2 linked regions of the Neodiprion lecontei genome follow. The protein of the gene in region 2 interacts with the protein of the main gene of each other region in a biochemical or structural test. Links are inferred from orthologs where the notes say so. Each region holds a gene or a part of one and is shown on either strand. Other genes may lie near its edges.

Evidence for each region.
Region 1: the proteins of E3 ubiquitin-protein ligase Nedd-4 (region 2) and ubiquitin-conjugating enzyme E2-22 kDa form a complex in vitro, tested with the Homo sapiens proteins (2 studies listed by BioGRID). The link is inferred for Neodiprion lecontei from reciprocal best matches to the Homo sapiens genes NEDD4L and UBE2K.

What each region holds. Positions count from the first base shown.
Region 1 is NC_060261.1:10,717,664-10,728,212, forward strand, and holds ubiquitin-conjugating enzyme E2-22 kDa, read right to left. Parts: upstream 6,634-10,549; 5' UTR 6,423-6,633; coding exon 6,360-6,422; intron 5,215-6,359; coding exon 5,062-5,214; intron 4,985-5,061; coding exon 4,902-4,984; intron 4,747-4,901; coding exon 4,583-4,746; intron 4,471-4,582; coding exon 4,339-4,470; coding exon of another isoform or gene 4,334-4,338; exon of another isoform or gene 3,340-4,333; coding exon 3,317-3,339; 3' UTR 3,012-3,316; coding exon of another isoform or gene 3,001-3,011; 3' UTR 2,792-3,000; downstream 1-2,791. Other genes in the region: E3 ubiquitin-protein ligase RFWD3, read left to right, coding at 126-135, 434-670, 937-2,423; ribose-phosphate pyrophosphokinase 1, read left to right, coding at 8,283-8,491, 9,996-10,188. UniProt on the Homo sapiens protein: Accepts ubiquitin from the E1 complex and catalyzes its covalent attachment to other proteins. In vitro, in the presence or in the absence of BRCA1-BARD1 E3 ubiquitin-protein ligase complex, catalyzes the synthesis of 'Lys-48'-linked polyubiquitin chains.
Region 2 is NC_060266.1:25,981,202-25,990,866, reverse strand, and holds the start of E3 ubiquitin-protein ligase Nedd-4, read right to left. Parts: upstream 5,641-9,665; coding exon 5,464-5,640; exon of another isoform or gene 5,419-5,463; intron 5,285-5,418; exon of another isoform or gene 4,729-5,284; intron 4,595-4,728; exon of another isoform or gene 4,243-4,594; coding exon of another isoform or gene 4,192-4,242; intron 4,179-4,191; exon of another isoform or gene 3,917-4,178; intron 3,818-3,916; coding exon 3,617-3,817; intron 3,515-3,616; coding exon 3,354-3,514; intron 3,142-3,353; coding exon 2,958-3,141; intron 2,766-2,957; coding exon 2,647-2,765; intron 2,532-2,646; coding exon 2,396-2,531; intron 2,167-2,395; coding exon 2,017-2,166; intron 1,754-2,016; coding exon 1,703-1,753; intron 1,611-1,702; coding exon 1,289-1,610; intron 1,200-1,288; coding exon 1,141-1,199; intron 1,022-1,140; coding exon 956-1,021; intron 860-955; coding exon 630-859; intron 568-629; coding exon 446-567; intron 356-445; coding exon 1-355. Other genes in the region: enhancer of mRNA-decapping protein 3, read right to left, coding at 8,370-8,963, 9,046-9,306, 9,412-9,557. UniProt on the Homo sapiens protein: E3 ubiquitin-protein ligase that mediates the polyubiquitination of lysine and cysteine residues on target proteins and is thereby implicated in the regulation of various signaling pathways including autophagy, innate immunity or DNA repair.

The sequences.
Region 1 (10,549 bases), on a different chromosome or scaffold from region 2:
TTTTTCCAATTACCTACTATGATCACCGCTTTTTTGTTGTTAATTTCAAGTTTCAACCATTGCTAATCCCGCATTGCACCTTCATCTCTTCTTCTAAATGTATAACCTGTCCGACTTCGTTAAAAATGGAAAACAGTGAGTTGATTTTTATCTTTCTCTTTCCGTTTCCAAGGAATAAGCCCTTTAAATTTACCGTTAACCGTTTACCCCACATCTGATACTGTTTTCTGCCTCATTTATATGCTTTAATTTGTTTCACCCTGTCTTGTCAGCAAACGATTAACCATCGATTAAATTACTATTCACAGACACAGTTGATCAAAAAATGGCAAAGATTTTGAGGAAACACTTGCACGCAGCTATCATTCAACATCGAGCTTGATGTACACTTATAATCCAATTCTTATTATTAATTGAATATTGATTATGTTAGATGAAGAAGAGATGGAGGTTCAAGAAGCAGATGAGCCAGTAATCCTGGCTCCTGATAATCGTGTCAACACTCCTATACGGGAAGTGGTACACATATCAGAACCAGAGACAGACCAAGAAGCTCAGGTTATTGAGCATAGTGAACCAATAACCTTTCGATCTGTACAAGGGGAAGAGAATGTACCAATTTTCCAAAAACCACAAGCAAACAACAATAACGAAGAGCTTCTCGAAATTGGTGAGTTATTTAGTAATATTCAAAGGTGCAGTAAGCACTTACATATTGTTTCATCATAGTATCAAGTCATGTTTCCTTTGACATCTCAAAGTCATATGAAATATTTGACATTGATTCAAGGTCCAGATAATTATAGCCCCTATTTGATGTTTCGGATTTCTTTGGGACCGTAATTGCTTCTTGCAAAACAAACTAGTATTAACAGTTACCGTTGATCTACCTAAGATAATTCAAATATATCTCGATGGACAAAACTCATTTCATAGGAAACAAAAGAAAAGACCCAGGCTCGGATGAGGAGGCAGACCTAGATTCGGGTCAATCATGTCCGATTTGCATGGATCTGTGGAACAACTCTGGAGAACATCGTCTCTGTTCTTTACGCTGTGGACACCTGTTTGGATATAGTTGTATTCAGCGTTGGTTACAAACTGGATGTAACGCAGGAGCGCGTCGATGTCCTCAGTGCAATCACAAGGCTTCGGCTAAGGATATACGCGTATTGTATGTCAAAAAGTTATCAGCAGTTGATACTAGTGAAGCGGACAAACTGAAAGTAGAATTAAGCAAAGTTACAGCAGAGAAAAGTCGGCTGCAGATGGAACTGGAAAGGTACATAATACGGCAGAAATTATTCGACCAACAGCTGGCTGGTATGAAGCAGCGAATATTAGAACTTGAAAGTCAGCAACTGCAAATGGGAAAGGAATATCAATCGAGCCTACAGCACTCAAATTCGCAACCAATGTTAAAGAAATTTCATCTTGAACGATCGATTGACATTTGTAAAGATGGCGGGTGCAGAGTTCTTGCCTATAATGCGTGGTACCAGACCTTAGTCATATCACAAAAATCCACAAATGCCTTATTTTCTGGGTATGGAATAAAAAAAATTGATTCCAGAGAATTTCGATCTCGACAATTCGTCTTCCTGCATTCTCAGGCCATCAGAGACGTGTCGTTCAATCCTTACATAAACGAAATACTCCTTAGTGTTGGATTCGACAAGTGTGCAAAGTTGATGGACATCCACAATAATACAGTGGTTCACAATTATCAGACGGATTCTCAGCTATGGAGCTGTTGTTGGGCCGGTAATAATCACAATGTCTTTTTGGCCGGTGCCCAAGACGGTTCTGTCAGACAATTCGATATTAGACAAACGGCTGGCCCAATCAGCAAAATAGACGGACCAGGAGACAGATCACCGGTCGTCGCTTTAGCAAAGGTTGCACCAGCTTACGACAGTGGAATACCGGCTGGAGGGTTCATAGCTTGTCGCCTGAATAGTTGTTTCGCATACGAAAGCAAAGATGCGGAGTTTGCAGGCAAGCAAATGTTTCTTGAAGGGCCGTTTGTGTCAGTTTGCTACGATTCCGAAAGCAAACATGTCGTGGTTTCGTCTCGCCCAAACCCCAGGCAACCGCAGGCAAGGCATACTGTTTGTACAATTGAAAAAGGTACCGAGGATATAATCGTTTGCAATATCGTTCACACTTTCCAAGGTGGAAATTCACAGAAATTACTTTCTAGACCGTGTCAGATAAAGACTGAAAATGACACGCTTCTAGCCGCTCATCAAGAAGCTACCAGCTCTATACCAATTTGGAGCATATCAACTGGTAAACAGATCTATAATCTTCCTGTTTCTGATCCTGTGATAGACTTCTGCGCCTTTAATACTAAAAACAATGACCTCTTTCTAGCAACGCTCTCTCAAAAGAAACTAAGGGCATATAAATATGGTAATTGATTATTTGTAAGATAAATGCATACAGACGTTGACGTCAAGTGTTATTAAGGAATAGCATGATGTGAAATCATAATCGAATGTGTTTTATTTACTAGTGAAATAGAAAGTGAAAGAAACTTGTTTAAACTATACAATATGTCATATACGTGTGTGTAATTAAATTTATGTGATACCGATTATTGTAGCGTAAGTATTTTGTATCGAATAAAAAAATTTTCTTTATAGATTAGGCACGTTTTTTAAGAGTGCTATAAGCCCTGTTTTTAAATATTGACCGAATAATTTTTTTACTTCCAGTAATTCAAAACTGTATACTATTTATATTTTTCCACGATCAAATCAAGGTGGATCAAATTTTGAAAGAAGTATTGAAAAAAAATTACTTTTATTAATATTTGAGGCCTATTAATGTACATTGATCTTATTAAATGGTATAAATCCTAAATTTCCCAATATGAACAGAGCAGAGTTTTTTTTTTGTTTTCCTGTAAATTCAAATTCACAGATCCCAACCATTTGTCCCAAGTTAACAAACTGGTTTGCGAGTAGTTGGACCTTGACTCTTGCTGGCGACACTTCAGACACAGCCTGCACATTGTGAATGATTGAAAAATGCATGAAATATTATGAAACATAACTATCAATTTTCAATTAATTGGAGTACATCGTATGCAGGTAAGATTTCACACCTGGCAATAGAACTTTACTCTTAGAATTACAATCGAAGTAAGATAGGATGTAGATTAAATTAATCAAATGTTCCATTACGTGAAACGTATACAACATCACTTAGCAAACGTGCACGGGACCGACCATGCGATATCCTGTCGTACCACACTGCCGTCTTACACTCCAAGTTTTCTAAGAAATGTATTTTCATCAAATAGCTACGTTCAATTTTTCGCCATAACCGTCACTGTAATTAAAATTATAAGTTTAATTTTGCTGATTTCTTGGAATTTTCTTATCGTCGGTATAATGAAAAGTAGTGTAAGTTTGCAAGTAATCAAACTTCAAAAAATGTGCAAAATTTAAATATTCACAAATCAAGTTTGGAGGCTACCGAAATTTCATAAATACGTTTATTAGGACTAAAAGATACGTTAATTTGATTAATATACACTCAAGAGTCAAGCGAAACCCCGTTACAATCAGTCGATATGCTGCAGGATATTATAATCAGCTAGTCAATCTTCAAATTTTGACAATTGAAGAAGTGTTTAATAATTTTATTTATATTCGAACAATAAGAGTTGGGGGCAAAAACATGTAATATCATCATTCATTGAACTGACAATGAGTTACACTTGAGTAGTACAACCGTTAGTAACGCAGTCAATTGGATACACACCTCCAGCAATGAGGTTTCACATAAAACTTGAACTCAGATTGAAGAAAAATTTCAGGGAAGCACTTGGCAACTGTGTTAGTGCCTAATCAAAGCAATTATCTTCGTAGATTTTAATACGTGTTTGGTTCTTAAATATTTTACTAATGCTGTTTCTAAGTGGATTATTGGGAATTGATTAAAAAAAAAACATTCATATGTCTATTCAAACATAAATGTCGCTTCGTCTTGTAGATTTAGAATTTACAACTTATTCTCGTAAATCGTAATAATGCCCTCCTCTTGAGTTACATACCTTATGAAATTTTGCTACTTAAAACTTGTTCATCAATTATTATTGTTTCTCGTATCTATTTTACATGTTAAATGAATGCTAATAGTTAGTCAAATTTGGGATCACTTCCAAAGTTATCTCACCATTGCAATATTGTCATTACGAATGTTGGGTTTTTTTCTCAATTATTTGAAAACACGATGGTATGCTTTTGTGACAGTGACATTCCAAGAGGTTGCTGCCAATTAGTAGCTGCTTTTTATGATACATAAGAATACACAGTAATCACTAACTGAATAGCTGTTCGGTGGCACGTTCTAAGTCCCAATTGTAGGAGGATAAGGCTACTCGTGCATTATGTTCTTCGATCCCCATATCAGTCAATCTTCTTATCTTGTCATCGAGATCTGACATCTTAGCTGGTCCTAAAAATATCAGGCATTTCTTGGTATTTTTTGATATTACAATCATTAGTTCGCTGAGGTCTTTACTCGTAAAAAAAACTTTAATAAATTTCGTAGTAGATAAATCTTGTACCACCAGCATACACAGACGTCCAATGTTTTGCAGTCTGACGAAACATTTCAGGCTGCTCCTTATACTGCTTAGCAACCACAGCGTCTTGTGGATCATCAGGCTCAGCAGCTGACAATAAGGCTTGTAACGATAACAAAACTGTTCTTAAGGTCATCGCAGCAGCCCTGACAAAGGATGACAATTATCGTTTAAAACACAATGCAACTAAAATCTGTTATGCAATTATTCTGTCGTAAGGTGATAGAACCAACGACATTGCAGAGTGCAAAATTATCACCCGATCAATTATATTAGTAACCATTATTGGACTGCAACTTACCATTGGTCTTTTAATATGTCCAAACATATGGCGCCTGTAACCGAGGATATATTTGGATGCCATATTTTTGTGATAAAACGAACCTGAAATAAAAAAGTGTAAAATTCAATGACTTCAGATCTTATACTACATCTTTGTTCATGATGGTTTTGGTACCTACTTTGGGTGGATTGAATGGATACGTTTCAGGTACTTTTATCTCTAACACGAAATTGCCACCTTCATATGGAGTGTCGGGTGGTCCTGCTATTTCACCCTTTAATTCTGTGAAGCTATCATTTACTAGTTCTACCTTAATCGCACATTTTGCCACCTGAAATGTTAGAGAAAAGAGATAAACATGATTAGTCAATTATTGTTTGTTGAAAATGCCAATAAAGTAGAAGAGGAAATCATTTGACAAGTTGACCATATTCAATATCAACTTCAACTATTGAAAATATATTTCAACTGAAACACAACACTATCTTATCAGCATATTTAATGAATATTATAATTGTAGAAAAGGGAAAGGCAACCAAGCTATGCACCGAGGTTGTTATGTTTTATCAACACAAATATTATCGCGATTCATACGAACAGTACTGCTCAACAGATACATCGTATTGCTGAGAAATAGTAATCTACTTTTAATAAGATTGCCGACCCCCTGTAGCCTTTAATCTGTAATACTTTTATAGAAAAAATGACCAAGCCAAGTTTATCAACGCGACCCGTAATGATGTGTAGAAAATAACAAAGTTTCGAAATGTCGACTAGCGCAAGAAGCGGTCTGAAGTAAGAAAATGTGACGAGATTCAAAGCAGTTTGTTAACAAAGCGTGGAAATCGTGATAGCCTGCCTACAAAGGGGTCTTGGAAAAACAAAACTTGACTGCAACCCAAAAATCTATGGCAAGCCCAGAAAATGTCGAATTATTGTCAACGGAAGAAGAAGAAAATGGTAAGTAAGCTACATTTATTGATATCTTTTCAAACAGGAATTTTGGATGGTTAATTAGTGACTCTAAAACAGTATTCAAATATCCGGAGAAATGATGAAACCTAAAAGATGAACCTGACAGAGAACGTAGATATTGAAGAAATAAAGATTCTATGGAAATGAGTATGAACTGAATAGGATATTTCATGTACTAAGAACTTGAGATTCTCACGAATTTTGTGAAAAGGATAAGTTTTCAATGAAAATGTTTTTTTTCTAATAACAACAGACACTTTTCAGACGAGGTAAATAATTGCGCAAGCAACTGTCAGAGGAAAGTTTGAAAATTATAACGAGCGAGGAAAGCGAGATGTGCCCTCAACTCAAAATTGTCTACGACTTGGTACGTGGAGAATCTGTTTAGCCGTTTGTTACAGGTTAGCGTTGCATAATATGTGAAATTCTCTCGCGATCACGCGTTTGGCTAAATACTGGTAAATGTACTGGGTCGTTGAGAAGTTGCACTTATTCACTCACCTCTTCGCTTTTTATAACCTCTTTGAACTCCCGTTTGATTCGTTGCGCCGCAATGTTCGCCATGTCTCCCTATCACTCCCAGCTACTCAATACACTGACATAATTTACCGCCGAATGTACGGATGCCAGTATTTACCTCGATTTAAACAGCTCTTTTAATTCATGTACTGTTGTCGCAACCTGTATTTTTTTTACCCAAATAACCGCTGGCGGTTACATACAATTTGTCATTCGATCACAGCTAGCGCCACATTGATAGGAAAAGACGAAAAGTAGAAAAGTGACTGTCACTTGCCTGTCTCTTTAAATTCCGACTAGAGTCACGCCGCGATTACTTTGGCGCTAATTTGAAATTTTTTTTTTCCTACCAATCTCGTTCGAGATTTTCAAAAAACTTATTCACTGACTCATGTAAATATGGTTATATATAACTTTTTTATTCAATTCTTCAACAACTACTTATGGAATACGTAAGCAATGACGCAGGTTTTATTCTACGCCTTCACAGATATTGAGTGGTGAATATTAACTGTTTTACTGTCAGATCTTAACGCTGCAATGCACTTATATAAATACTTTACCGAACGATTCTATTAATCTTTTACATTAATTGTAACGTAAGTGCATGAATTAAATCAGCATAAATAATTTTATAATTGAAGAAGAAAGTTGAAAAAATAACAAATTGGACCACGATGTCACGTACAAAAAATGTATAATATATATGTAACATTATACTGTGACAAAATGGAATATAATATGACAGAACACCGATTGATAATAAATTAACTATGACCGGATTAATTAGTAAACTTTAAATTATCTGCTGACTTATGAAACGAATAGTAAATATGTATGCTTCAATGATTCTCAAGTACATAATTACAATTCTGTTCGATTTTATGTCAATATGTTTGCAGCATCATATCTGCCATGTACGGACCGAACTATGAAACGCATTACCTAATTTTTTTTTTAATTATCCCCGTACCCGTTCATGAACAAATTTTATCTCTTCGAGTCATATTTAATGGTTTGAAAACGATAATATCTGTTGCAATTTTCGACATCCTCAAAATTCAAAATCAGTTCACAAAAAAGTTTCTATAGTCAGTCCTTACCGAGCAAGTCAAATGTCACTTATGATTAACTATTATCAGAGCCTACGCATTCGTTAACGGGAAAAGGTAGTCCCGTGATAGCACTATTCTGTATCGAAAGCAGAACACAAGAACCCAACGGGTATTTGTTTTACGCTACAATGATATTCCTGTAATAGAATTACTACTAATTGTAGGAGCACATTTTCTGATGTTATTCTTGCATGAAAGACAGAAGCTTTTGAATATTCTTGTTCGACATTGCAGTGGCTAAAATGTGCTATCCGCGCCATTTTCATGTCAGTGATGCGTAGACTCTGGGTAATAGTCAAAATGAGTGATATTTTATTCGGTTACTAGAGACTACCCGTAGCATCCTCTTAAAACTCGCTGGAAGTTCGTGAGAATATGAAAAAAAAATAAAAAAATAACAGAAAAATTGGCCAATTTGAATGATCGACCAGCTAATCATAGCGCAGAGCAAGAGAGATAGAGTATACCGAGTGGCCGTTACCATTTACCCCATGAGGCATGCGAGCTTTTCGTGGACAGCAAAATGCTGCGGCAGTATTTTACTGCCTAGTTCCAGACCAATGCAAATAATAATAAAAATGGATAATTCGCATTCAGCGTGCATCAGGCAGCACTTTATTACTTTATCGGCATTCCTATCGGTGAAAAAAGCATATTGCCGCCAGTGAAAATCCACCCTAAGATCAAAGATTTGAAATGCAAATAATTCGGTAAGCTGACACGAGGGAGCGCTGGGTCCGCATACTGATAATTTCCGGACGGCTCTGATTGGTCGTTCGGATTTACAGTAATGCCCGTCTCGCAACCAGTCCGTGCGAGGAGTTTGTTACGCGCAAAGTTAGAGAAACCTCGTGGCGGTAGTGTACTACGGAGCAGAATGCCAAATATCAAAGTATTCAGCGGTACGTCGCACCCGGACCTGGCGCAGCGAATAGTCGACAGGCTTGGAATCGACATCGGGAAGGTTGTCACGAAAAAATTCAGCAACCTCGAAACATGGTAACTACATCATTGCAGCCCTTATTTATCCTTTTATCTTATAAAGAGTCAGGACCCGCGCCGCTTCCTCGCGGAGCAATGGCCAATCCAACTCGTCGACAAAATTCTATCCCGCTTCATCGAAGCTCCAAAATATCTAAACAGTCGCCTGAAATCTGGGTAAATCGTTCTCGGAATTAGCGTCGTTTATTCTGGCACCCTTGCTTCGACAGGTACGCGAACCCCTCTTGCGCCAATCACCGTTCACCGGAGATCCTCGCAACGCCACGCCGCGTTGTTTAATTCCCTCATATCTTTTTGTCCTTTGCCTTCCCGTCCGACTCTAGTAATAGAACGAATCTTTTTTACTTCTCTCGGATCTATTGCTCCGCGTACGTAATCATTGATATTTCGCGTCATTTTGTGTACCTATGTACATACATACATACATATTATGTACGTATTAGACGGCTGCGCGCAATTTCTTGTGTAGGTTGACGTTGCCTTTAATACATCATGATTACAACGACCTTGCCGTTTGTTGGTAGTGGGCACTGTTCTGTATTGAAACTCTTTCGATGCTGACAAAGTTTTCCTGTATCATTACTTGAAATCACATCCGATATTTATAACGACCAAATATAACGTCGTATATTTATGCATGCAATTTTTTACTACCTACCTTTATTTTTATACTCAACAGTCTTACCGGTACACGTTTCATTTCTACATCGTTACGTTCTGAAGGATCAAAAATTATCATACGCGATTTGATTAAGGTTCGCCAAATGTTTATCACAAAATATTGAAGACCTTCCAAACATTTGAAAGTACCGCTATTAATCAACTTTTACAGGTGAAAAGAATGCAGATTCATTTACATTGCAATTATTTTTGAAAAATTCCAATTTTTCAAAGCAATTGCTAATAAATAACCAAACAACAAAGCTTTAGTTTCGTTAATAATCGCCTATCCATTCGCAAAATGATAATATCACGGTAGATTCCAACTAGAAACGTTGGTTTGAATTCAAACAAAAGAGTTTCTAACTATTTAAGAAATGCTGAACAAATAAAACATGATGTAATCTTATTTGAACAGAAGCAATTATTTCATGGCTCTATTCTTTTTCTTCGCAAGTTATCATAAAAGTTCCGTTGTTTACTATATCGAGTCTACTTTTCTGAAGAGTCGAAGGCTTGCAACATTTGAAATTAATCAAAAAATCAATGTGTAACTTTACAAAAAGTGGATAATTTTTATGAAAATTGTATTTCCTTCTTTTCCTATGTAATAAAGTAAATTGTCGACGACCGGCAGATTGAAATAAGCTCCCTAAAGTATCAGAAACTGAATTTATGTAACTGATCTCATTTCATTCAATGTAACAACAATTTACCTTTCGACGACACAATAGCAACGTGACTAAACGTGTCTTTTTCTTCTTTGATGTATCCACCTCGTACTAGTATCTTCACCATTATATGTAGTTTAATGAAAAATTGTAACATTTTTCATTCTCAGCGTGGAAATCGGAGAGTCTGTACGTGGCGAAGATGTTTACATTATTCAAAGCGGCAGTGGCGAGGTAAATGACAATCTCATGGAGCTGCTGATTATGATCAATGCATGCAAGATTGCCTCTGCATCTCGAGTAACAGCAGTCATCCCTTGCTTCCCATATGCCAGGCAGGACAAGAAGGATAAGGTAGGAGATGTGAGCATTACTTTTTATTCCCAGTTATTAATTATACTCGTATAGTTTACCATGTGTGTATGAATTTCTTGTTATTTATATATTTATTTCAATTTAGTTTATTTAGTTTTTTTTTTTTACCATTTTTTCTCACAATTGGCGTATTTGCATCAAATTCGTATCAAATTTTTCCAGTATGAATTCTAAGAAATTTGCTGAAAAATTACTGTACATCATTTGGTGCATTTACTGCTTTCCAATTTGTACGTGTATTTTCTTTCTTTATAATTTTATTAGGAGTAAGCAAATTTAGATCACACGTATGTATCAAGTGATGAATTAATTAATATTTCAAATATCAATGGTAAACCTGAGGATTTGT
Region 2 (9,665 bases):
TCGTGTTCGTCGAATATTTTAACGAGTGTCAACGGAACAAGTGCGTTGAATCCCTCGAGAAAGGAATTCATCTGTTCCTGGACTCGGGACACGAACCTCCATTGTATAACCGAACTTATGTACTCATCTTTGTTCTCGTCAGTCAACGGTATGTTTGCGCCGTTTGGTTTTAACTCTCGTTGAGACGTGTGACCAAAGCTTTCCTCGTCCACGCAAAAAGTAAGTTCCAACTCGCTTGGATCGTTCTCCTTTATCCAGAGCAAGGAATTATAGTATTCTGAGTCGACACTCTCCATGTCCTTAAGGTCGATAGTTTTGCTCAGCATCATCTTATAAAAGGGTCGGATGAAGAAAGCTTGAAGGAAGTGTAAGTGTTAAAAAATTTCTGCTTTACCAAACTGGGAATGATTGAATGAGTAATTAAGTAGCGACCTGCCATAATTACCATCTAAAAGTTTTCCGTGATAAACAGCCATCCCCGCAACGCGTCCTATGAATTTAAAATAGTTAAGATGCTCCTCGTTGCAAACTCCGGAGAACGGATTAATTTGTAGAGTATAATTGTCCCTATAACGAGAGATCAACAAGTTAACAAAAGACAGATAATGCGTCAACTCGCGATAACTTACATGGCGGAATATTCGAAAAGACCATAGTAAGGGTTGAACATTTCTTTCGATAGTAGAAAGAACCATTCTCGGGCAAGTCCACCATAGTCCAGACCGACCTCGCCTTCGAATTCCACCCACAACTTAGTCTTCAGGATCTCTAATCTAATTACGGAGCTAATGATGCGGTAAGAGTCCTCAAGGATGTTCGTCCTCCTCACTTTGATCTCGAATTTATTAGGCACGTTGTTCTATGAACAAGCAAGTCCAAAGTTACATCGAGATTGTCCAAAACTAAAAACAATTCATCAATTTAGAATGAACCAAGTAATTTTTGATGCACTCACTGGTTTTCTCAGCTGTGACTTCAGGTACTCGTATTTACGCTTGTAGTCCCTGGAGTACGGAACTGCCTGTAATTCAGGTATAATGTTCGCGAGATTAGTTTCTATACTTGCCCGATTATTACAATCAAATCGGAATAAAACAGATAAGATAAGCTTCAGCGTCATAGAAATAAATGATAACTTACAGGTCCAGCTATCTGAGGATTAGACATTCGCGGATCCTCCCATTGAGTGGTTCTTGTATCTGAAACAAAGTAATTTACATCAGTGTACATAATTATCATCTTGCTCAAAGGTTATCCAGCTATCGGCAATTTGAGTAAAACGGCTCACTGTGATCAATGAAGAATATGCGACCATCCGTATGCACTCTTTCCTCCCATCCTTCGGGCAATGGTCCTAACTGGTCTAAATCACTCCTTGGTGTTGCTGACGGAGCATTGTGACTCGGCATAGGACTGGCGCGCCCCGTTCTTGGGTCTACCCACGTCGTAGCTCGTTCATTGTGATCTATAAAAAACATTCTACCATTTGGTGCCAATTGCATACTCCATCCAGAAGGCAACCCGTCGCCATTCGGTGTCTGAGAAGCAGCCGCTGCCGGTGGAGCTATAGCTGTGGCCGGGGAAGCCGCTGGTATTACTGGACCATCAATCTGGATAAAAAAAATTGACAGAGAGATACAGAATACCTATGTTAAATATATTGAAAATTGGGATATCCATATGTACGGAGAAACAAGTATACCTGTTCCGAGGATCGCCTGGAACCATTCGGGCTATCAGCAGCTTCCTCACTCTGGGAACAAAAATTGCAGAGCATGATGAAATACCACCATCGAGAAAAAAAAGGCTGGCGTTGCTCGCAGAAAAAACAACGGCATGTATGTTTAAATACACAGGGATGTGAGGCCACAATATACTGGCAATTTTTTTATTTAAAATTGCGATATATATTGATATTGTTAAGCATTAGAAGTGATTGAAAGAAGGCAGCTGATAATCGGATATTTGCACAAAGAAAGCAAATGTGTAATATGGTTCGAAGTGAACGATGAATACCTGATCATCAGATTCGCCCAGGTAGCCGTGCTGATCGACTGAACGACCGGAATCCGATGAAGCATCCCCAACCACCCTTTCCCCTTGTTCCCCACCTTCGTCATTCTTGTCTTCCGCATGCTCGTCCTCCTCTCGAGGGACATCACCATCCTTATACACACATGCACAATTTGCTACACACCGCATGCTGCGTTTATACAACCCCTCACCACAGTTTTATTTGAACTTTATTTTTATAATTTTAGAAGTACTAATGTTAATAACAAACCATTGTAAGGTAGGATGACAACGAGGTTGTTATACTGTATAGCAAGTTGCTAATTCTATCAGGCAAAATTATTGGCAAAAGAAAAAGGTGAGTTGCACTTTGTGTTCTCACCTGATGAAGGCCAGAGCTTCGGTTATGCCTATTTTCTGCATCATCAACACTGATGTGAAAGCGTCTCTGGAACTCGGTTGCTGCGGTATCTAGATTTCGTTGCTCCTGTGTTACACCACCCGTTGGTGCTTGATTTCTGGAAAATAACCATAATCGATTGTCTGTAAGAACGGCAGTTACAGAAGAAGTTTACGATGACATGTATGAGGGGTTTGTAAAGAGTTGATGAATTCATACAGAACTTCACTTACAGGACTGTCGGCCGTTCCCATTGCGTGAATCTAGCTATGTGATTGACATAGTACGTTCTCCCGTTCGCGTCCTGTCTTTCTTCCCATCCAGGCGGCAGAGGCCCATTGACCATTATTGTCTGTAAATCAAAATTGATGAAGTCTAAGAATATGAGCATTGAAATATCACAGTTATTTCTCATTGTTAAAGAATTTCCCGTGCCCAGGTCGATCTTATATTCGATCGCTGTTCTCAATTCAAAATTTTGTGTTCATTTACTTGTAGAGTAACTGAAAGACTGTACTTTGTAGAAAAAATTAGGTAAACCAACCGGAGCAGCTTGTTCTACAGGACTATCATTAGACGTTGAAACGGGCTGGTCCAACAGTTCCCAACCACCGGAGTCAGGCGCAGTTTCACCTTCGCCATTGCTGCTCTCCCCTGTTGAGTCCGAAATGTATGCGTGGTACACTTCCAGCGTGCCTTTAACGCGCGACCGTTGACTGGAATGATTGCTAAGCCACGTCGTCGATCATTAATTATTTTTATCATCGCACAATTCTTGGTAAAAGATCAAGAAACAACATGGATAACATATTATAATATGTATCATACTCTGAAAACGGTGGTTCATGTGGATGTTGAATATAATTTGCATCTACCATTAGATAATATGATTGATGTGAGATAATCGTACCGAAACAAACATCTACAGCCAGCTACTCACCTACGTGGTCTAAGTATATATTGCTTGGCAGGAATGACGCGTCCTTCTTGTTCCTTGGGTAGATTGATTAAAGTCAGCTCAACCATTCCGAGAAAATCATCTCTGGTCAATCTGTTTTCGTCAAATACTTGGAGAATGAGTTTGTGCTCGGCTGGTTTGACCTTTGCAACAGCAAGATGCACAATTAATCGTCATTGCATTATCAATTTGACGTTAGATTATAATTTATCAGACACAACAGAAGGTGGTTACAGCAAACTCACCCTGAATATGAATTCTTCCTCCCAAACTGGGTTCAAGGTCTTTTTCTTAGTCTTGGTGAGCACTGAGTTGACGTTCCCATCTCCATTGATCTTGTTCAAATCAACTCGGACGTAAGGATCGCTCGCACCGAATATGTCCTTTTTGGCCAGTTGATGACCAGCTATAACCTTGAGCCTCAGCTTATTCGTTGCCTCCTCGTCCTAGGTACAGAAAGATAATAACAGGACGACCTTGCTGCGTTAGAATCGACTGAATTATCGGTAGATATTAGAGGAGGGTGACGCGACAAGGATACATACAATAATTGGAAGAGACCAGTGTAGAGAGAAACAGAGGGCGATAGAGAGAAAGAGAAAGAGAAAAGGGAAATATCACAAGTTCCCGGAAACCACCGACCCACTCTCTGGAGCGTAACGTTTGACGCGATTGAGCCGACAAGGATATTTTCCGACGATATTTCGTGCGACGGCAGGTAGACCCTGAAAGCCCTGGACACCTCGGATTTCGAAGATCGTGAAAGAACCCAACCTAGACCACTTGTCAGGGGAACTGTCAAATATCGTGTAGGACTCACCCCGTCGACGCCGGTCGTCGGATTGTATCCGTAAACATGTTCCTCTGCCATTAACAACACGTGGAATAAAAACGTTCGCGAATCGCCAGAAAAACGATCGTTTTCTATTTATTACGAATTACTATAATTTATTATCTGCCATCAAGAAGTCTGTTCTCGTATTACCCCCACTTTCTAAGTTGCCGTTCAGACGGCCGTTTCAAGTGCTGCCAACTTCGGATAATCAAAGTAACACGGAAGCTTTGTTCCGTCATGATCCGCCTTTCTGATCCCCCGCGAAACTTACGAATGGTCGTGCACACGGTACTTCGATGATTCCCATTGCCGCTCAATTCTCATTCATCAATTTTCATATTATCGACAATCTGGCGTATACCAGAAATTTTCCCATTTCTTTTTAACGCACTTTCATATCATGCGCAACAGATTTTGGCCCGTCTACAGTGCGCAGCAGGTACACGTACACTCAAATACGTACACTTGCGCCTTCGGTGACCGTGATTACCATCCGTGAGTGTCGCTGCACGTGTGTTTGTACGTACAATACAACATTCGAGGTCATCCGCGGGAATTACCTTTAATCTTATCAAAACGCAGAAGAAGCACCGTAAACTAATAACATCGACTAATATTTTCCCCTAGTGTCTGTGTACCTCAAGTTAGAAAATATAAGTATGGGTGTCAAAAATGGTTTGAAAAAAAAAAATGCAGTCGCATAATTTTTCTAAAACGTTTAGTAAAAAAAAGTTTGATATTCCCTTAACGCCGCACCCAGTCTCAATTGTAGTGATATCAGTGAAATCACGTGATTTACGGTAAAGTTGGTTGGTCGAGCGAATTGGCATACGACAAATCGAATGGTATAACCAACCGGAACAGCTATATGTGTACATAATACATACATATACATCCAATAAATTCAGTTACTTTTATTATTTCATACGAAGCGAGACACGGGTTGCGGTTTTAAATGTCGAAGATCACAGTACAATGTGCGATTCGTATCATTTACGTACGAACAAGCGAATCGCCAGTGAAAAACACCATTGACTCATAGAATTCTCACTTTGCGTATATTTATAATCTGGCTCACGTAGGTATATAGCATTTAAATATGTATGTATACATATACAGAGGCATGTTGTCCCACCACGCATACAAATGTAATACAATGTAGGTTATATATGATGCTACGGAGTTTCCTTATTGGGACACGTATCCTTACAGGACGTAGCGACAAGGGAGGGAAGAAGAAAAAGAGAGTTTCCTCACCGTGGTTGTGGGCTGGACGGAAAGGGAGAGCCTTCCAGCTCGGGATGCGAGAGTTTCCTGCGCGCTCGCCGAGGATCGACGTCGTCCTACCCATGTGCTGGTCCATGTGTTTGCTCGTCTTCTAGGAGGCGGTGGTTCGATCCCGGCGTAGATCGGGTACGTCAAGGTAGCCGGCATCTTCGAGAAGGTATCCGCAAACCGAATCGCAACGCGTCGAAGGACAGAAATGATCTATGGATCGACTAGGTGCCCAGGCTGGTGGCTGCAGCTTTTCCGTTCATAACTCGACTTAAACTTTGTATGCAATTGGTGTTCGGTTTCCTCTATTTTCTTTCTTCTCTCGAAGTATTAGACACGCTCCTGCAACGTATTTTATTATTATACGTACACCGTACGTTGTACGTGCCGAATAGAGATGCATAGAGGCGAGAATTACGGGCGTTATACGTTGCGTTGGGAGGATCGGGGTCCCGGATCACAGCGGTGGTGGATGTAGCCGATTAAAGTTAATTAGCGCGCACAATTACGTATATCGAACAACAAAATTTGACGATTTTTACATATTTTTACATTATAGGTATATACAAATACTTTTCTTCCCGCACCTTCGTTAAGAGCCACTCGTCGGCGTTACTTTTAGACTAGTTTCTTTATTCGTTTTGACACACACCACACACAAGCAGCAACTGTGAGAAATGGCTATACATATATATGCATACAGACAACGCGTTCTGCCAATATTAGCCAAGCTCGCCCCGCAAAATAAAGAAGCAAAAGCAAGTGGTGCTGTTTATCAAAACGATCAAGCGATCACCTTGTTGATCGTTATCAGCTAGCACACGCGGTTTAATCGCGATGTTACATAGAGAAAATTAACGAGAAAGAAATTACTCGTTCTTTGTTCGTTTAGCCGTACCCCACACGATCTCAACTTAATCAGCGCATTATTCTTCGCACACACACAACACCTACGCAATGCGCACGCGATATACTTGTTCCTCCTTGAGTTTAAGTTTCAAACTATTTCGCCAGGGCAACGAGGTGCAAAAATTTAAGGCAAGTATTCCGATCCGTAACGTTAAACGTGAAATTAAATGAATTGTCGCGGAAAACGTAATTCCCGAAAGTACCAAAACTTTCGAAGATAGATAAGAATGAGACAGCATCAGAGCTGCTTTAAATCAACGTCTGATAACACCGTCGTGCGCGACTCATGGACGACAGAGTCAAGAGATATGCACAGATATTACACGGGCGCGTATTGCGAGTAATGATAAGTGTATACAACATACATGATACGTTATATGCGCGTGAGCGTAAGCGTTAATACACTCCGCGTCGAGACGGTATTGAGGATTTTCTTAACACAGAAGTATTATGATAATTAATGACAAATTCACGAATTTTTTTTTCTTCCTTTTTTTCCCCCTTGTTCTCTCTTTGTTTTCCACGTACACGCGCGACTACGTAACGTACCGTGCTTTCCAGGTCACGCCTGACTGCGACAAGACGCGAATCGACCTAGGCCCAAGTAGAGAAAATTATGAACTACGTAATTGATATATGCAGTAATTTATTCTATAGTAGTTTCATTTACGCATTCACGCTGCGTCGCGGGCCGCCGACTTCCTGCGCGTAAACGAAAATGCCGATTATTATTGGCCGGCTGCAACCGCGGAACGTTATTATGCATATGACAGTAAATTGATACAGCGAAACTGTAAGGTGTTAATAGATTATAAGATACAATTACTGCTGCATTCTTGATCTTCTATTGTACAATTTTACATCATGTATATATGTTAATAATAAGAATAGTCATCGTCGTAATAATATGGCTATACAATAGTACACAATCATCAACTTATGGTAGACCGTTGACAGAATCATCAACACTCGGTACTTACCCAGCACCTCTCTCTCGATATACAACTATGTATAAAATATAAATAAATTAATTAATATGATAATTACAATTTAAGCAAGTTTCAATCCATATATATATATATATATGAACTGGACGTGATTCAAGTTTATAATTTTTTTAAATAGGAGCACGGAACGAATAACAATTTGCACATTTCTTGACGCTGCAAGGCGTGAGCCAAACAATATATAAATTTCATTTTGCAACGTACAGGTTTTTTCCACCCTGTTATTAGTTTCTAACAACTTCGACAAACTAATCAGCAATGGTCGCTGAAACTATAACAGCTGTGGCCCACGATTAGATGCTATCAAAATTAAAAAAAAAAAAAAAATAATACAAACAAGCTAATAGTTATGGATACTAGCTAACGGTATACAGTAGAACCCCGATTAACTGGGATTGGTTTAACCGGGGAGCGAATTAACCGTGACCCTCTGGAGCGCCTCCGAGCTTCGCGTGAGTAACCGGGTATTAGCGGTTGTCTTGGAAAGGGATTGGACTTGTGAAAATACCCTTAGTTCACAGACTGCATCACATGCTCGGCAGTCACTATTGAATCGATCGAAAATTACTAATAATTCGGATTAACCGTGATTTCACTTATTCGTGGATTCTTCGGTCTTGAGCAGCCCAATTAATCGAGGTTCCACTGTACTCGTAATTACAAAAGTCACGTGAGACAAATTCGCTCCTAAAAAAGAGCGTATGACAAAATTAAGAAACGGACAGTAGTCCAATGTCGATTTAATTAACACACCGCGTAAATAACAAACACGCGTACGGAACACGCGACAATCGCGGGCGTTGATATTTAGATACATATTAAACTAGTTTGATGATAAAAACTGGATAATTAATTATTTTGTTCGAGTAATTAATAATCCGTGGGTCGTTGATTTCAGTTCGCATAATGGCAGATTTAGAGAAGCCGATTCTAAGGTACCTTCACGGAAGTGATGAACGTCATAGGAATCTGCTAGGAGCTGTTGGAATGAAGTGGAATAACGAATTTCGGTCCGAACGGTGATCTGTAAGTGATACCAACGTCCGAAAATACTTTAGCAGGTAGGGCCAAATTGCAAAGATACAATCTTCCGTTATCCGCGCTATGGGACAGGGGCAATCCACCAAGGAGACTGAATTTTGTCATAATTCCTGGAGTCCCAGCTGACGGGGGTTCAATTGCAAGAACTGGTGCTCTATTGCTGTTCGCCCATGTTGCAACGGGAGCAACTGTCCTTGGCGAGCCTTCCTCGCCAAGAGCAAGGAGAATGAGATCAGCTACTGCGGGAAGATTCTTGTACCGAGTTTCAACCCTGTTTCCCGATAGCTTGTACAACGACAATTCCTGCAGCAGGAAGACGTCTTCCGAATTTTCAACGTACACGACAGTCTTCACCCCGTGACTTGACAATTGGCGAGCGCAATTGACACCCGCAGCTCCTGACCTGTGGGGTCCACACAGGGCGACTACCGTTGGCCATTGGTGCGCATTGTTCGGGTTTAGTCTATGCCCACCACCCAATAGCTGTAGAATTATTTCCGCTCCTGCACGACCCAGTAACTCGACCTAAAAATTTTGCAGAGAACAATAAAGAACGGAATAGTTTGGATGAAAGTGGTTTTTAGGCCTGTCAAGTTTCTCTACTTACCCTGCGATCCCAGCTAATACCTAGTCTATCAGCAGCACCGATTAATTGACGATGGAGATCGACCGTTATGCTAGGAATTACTAATCCATCGTCAGTTACATATTCCCGGATACCAGCAGACGGCACTGCAATTTGTCTGAATGCTGTAGGTTCGGATTCTATTACGTTTTCATCGTGACGATATTTTGGTACACTTCCTCTGGTGTTTTCAGACTGACGAACGATGTCTGGCTTCAAGGAATTTATTTCTTGCCACACAGCCTGTAATAGTTTTATTTAACTAATTAATTGTTGTATAGCGCTGTAAGTGGTGTGGGAAAAGGTATGAAAAGTACAGACATCAGATTTATGAAATGCCATAATTACCTCCTTATTGAACAGTGCTAAATTTTTCTCAAAATCAAAGTCCTGCTCCATCGACTGATCTATGGGTGTTCCAAAGGCTTGTTCATCTTTCTCCTGCCATCTTTGTCGTTGCGAACTCCTTTTCTGGTTTTTTGTGCTTATCTCGCCTGGAAATAACAGTTCGGAATTGTAATTTTACTTAAGTATATCCCACAATCTTTTACACTACGATATATCAACTGACAAACGTTAAAATTTTACTACCGAAAGTGCAG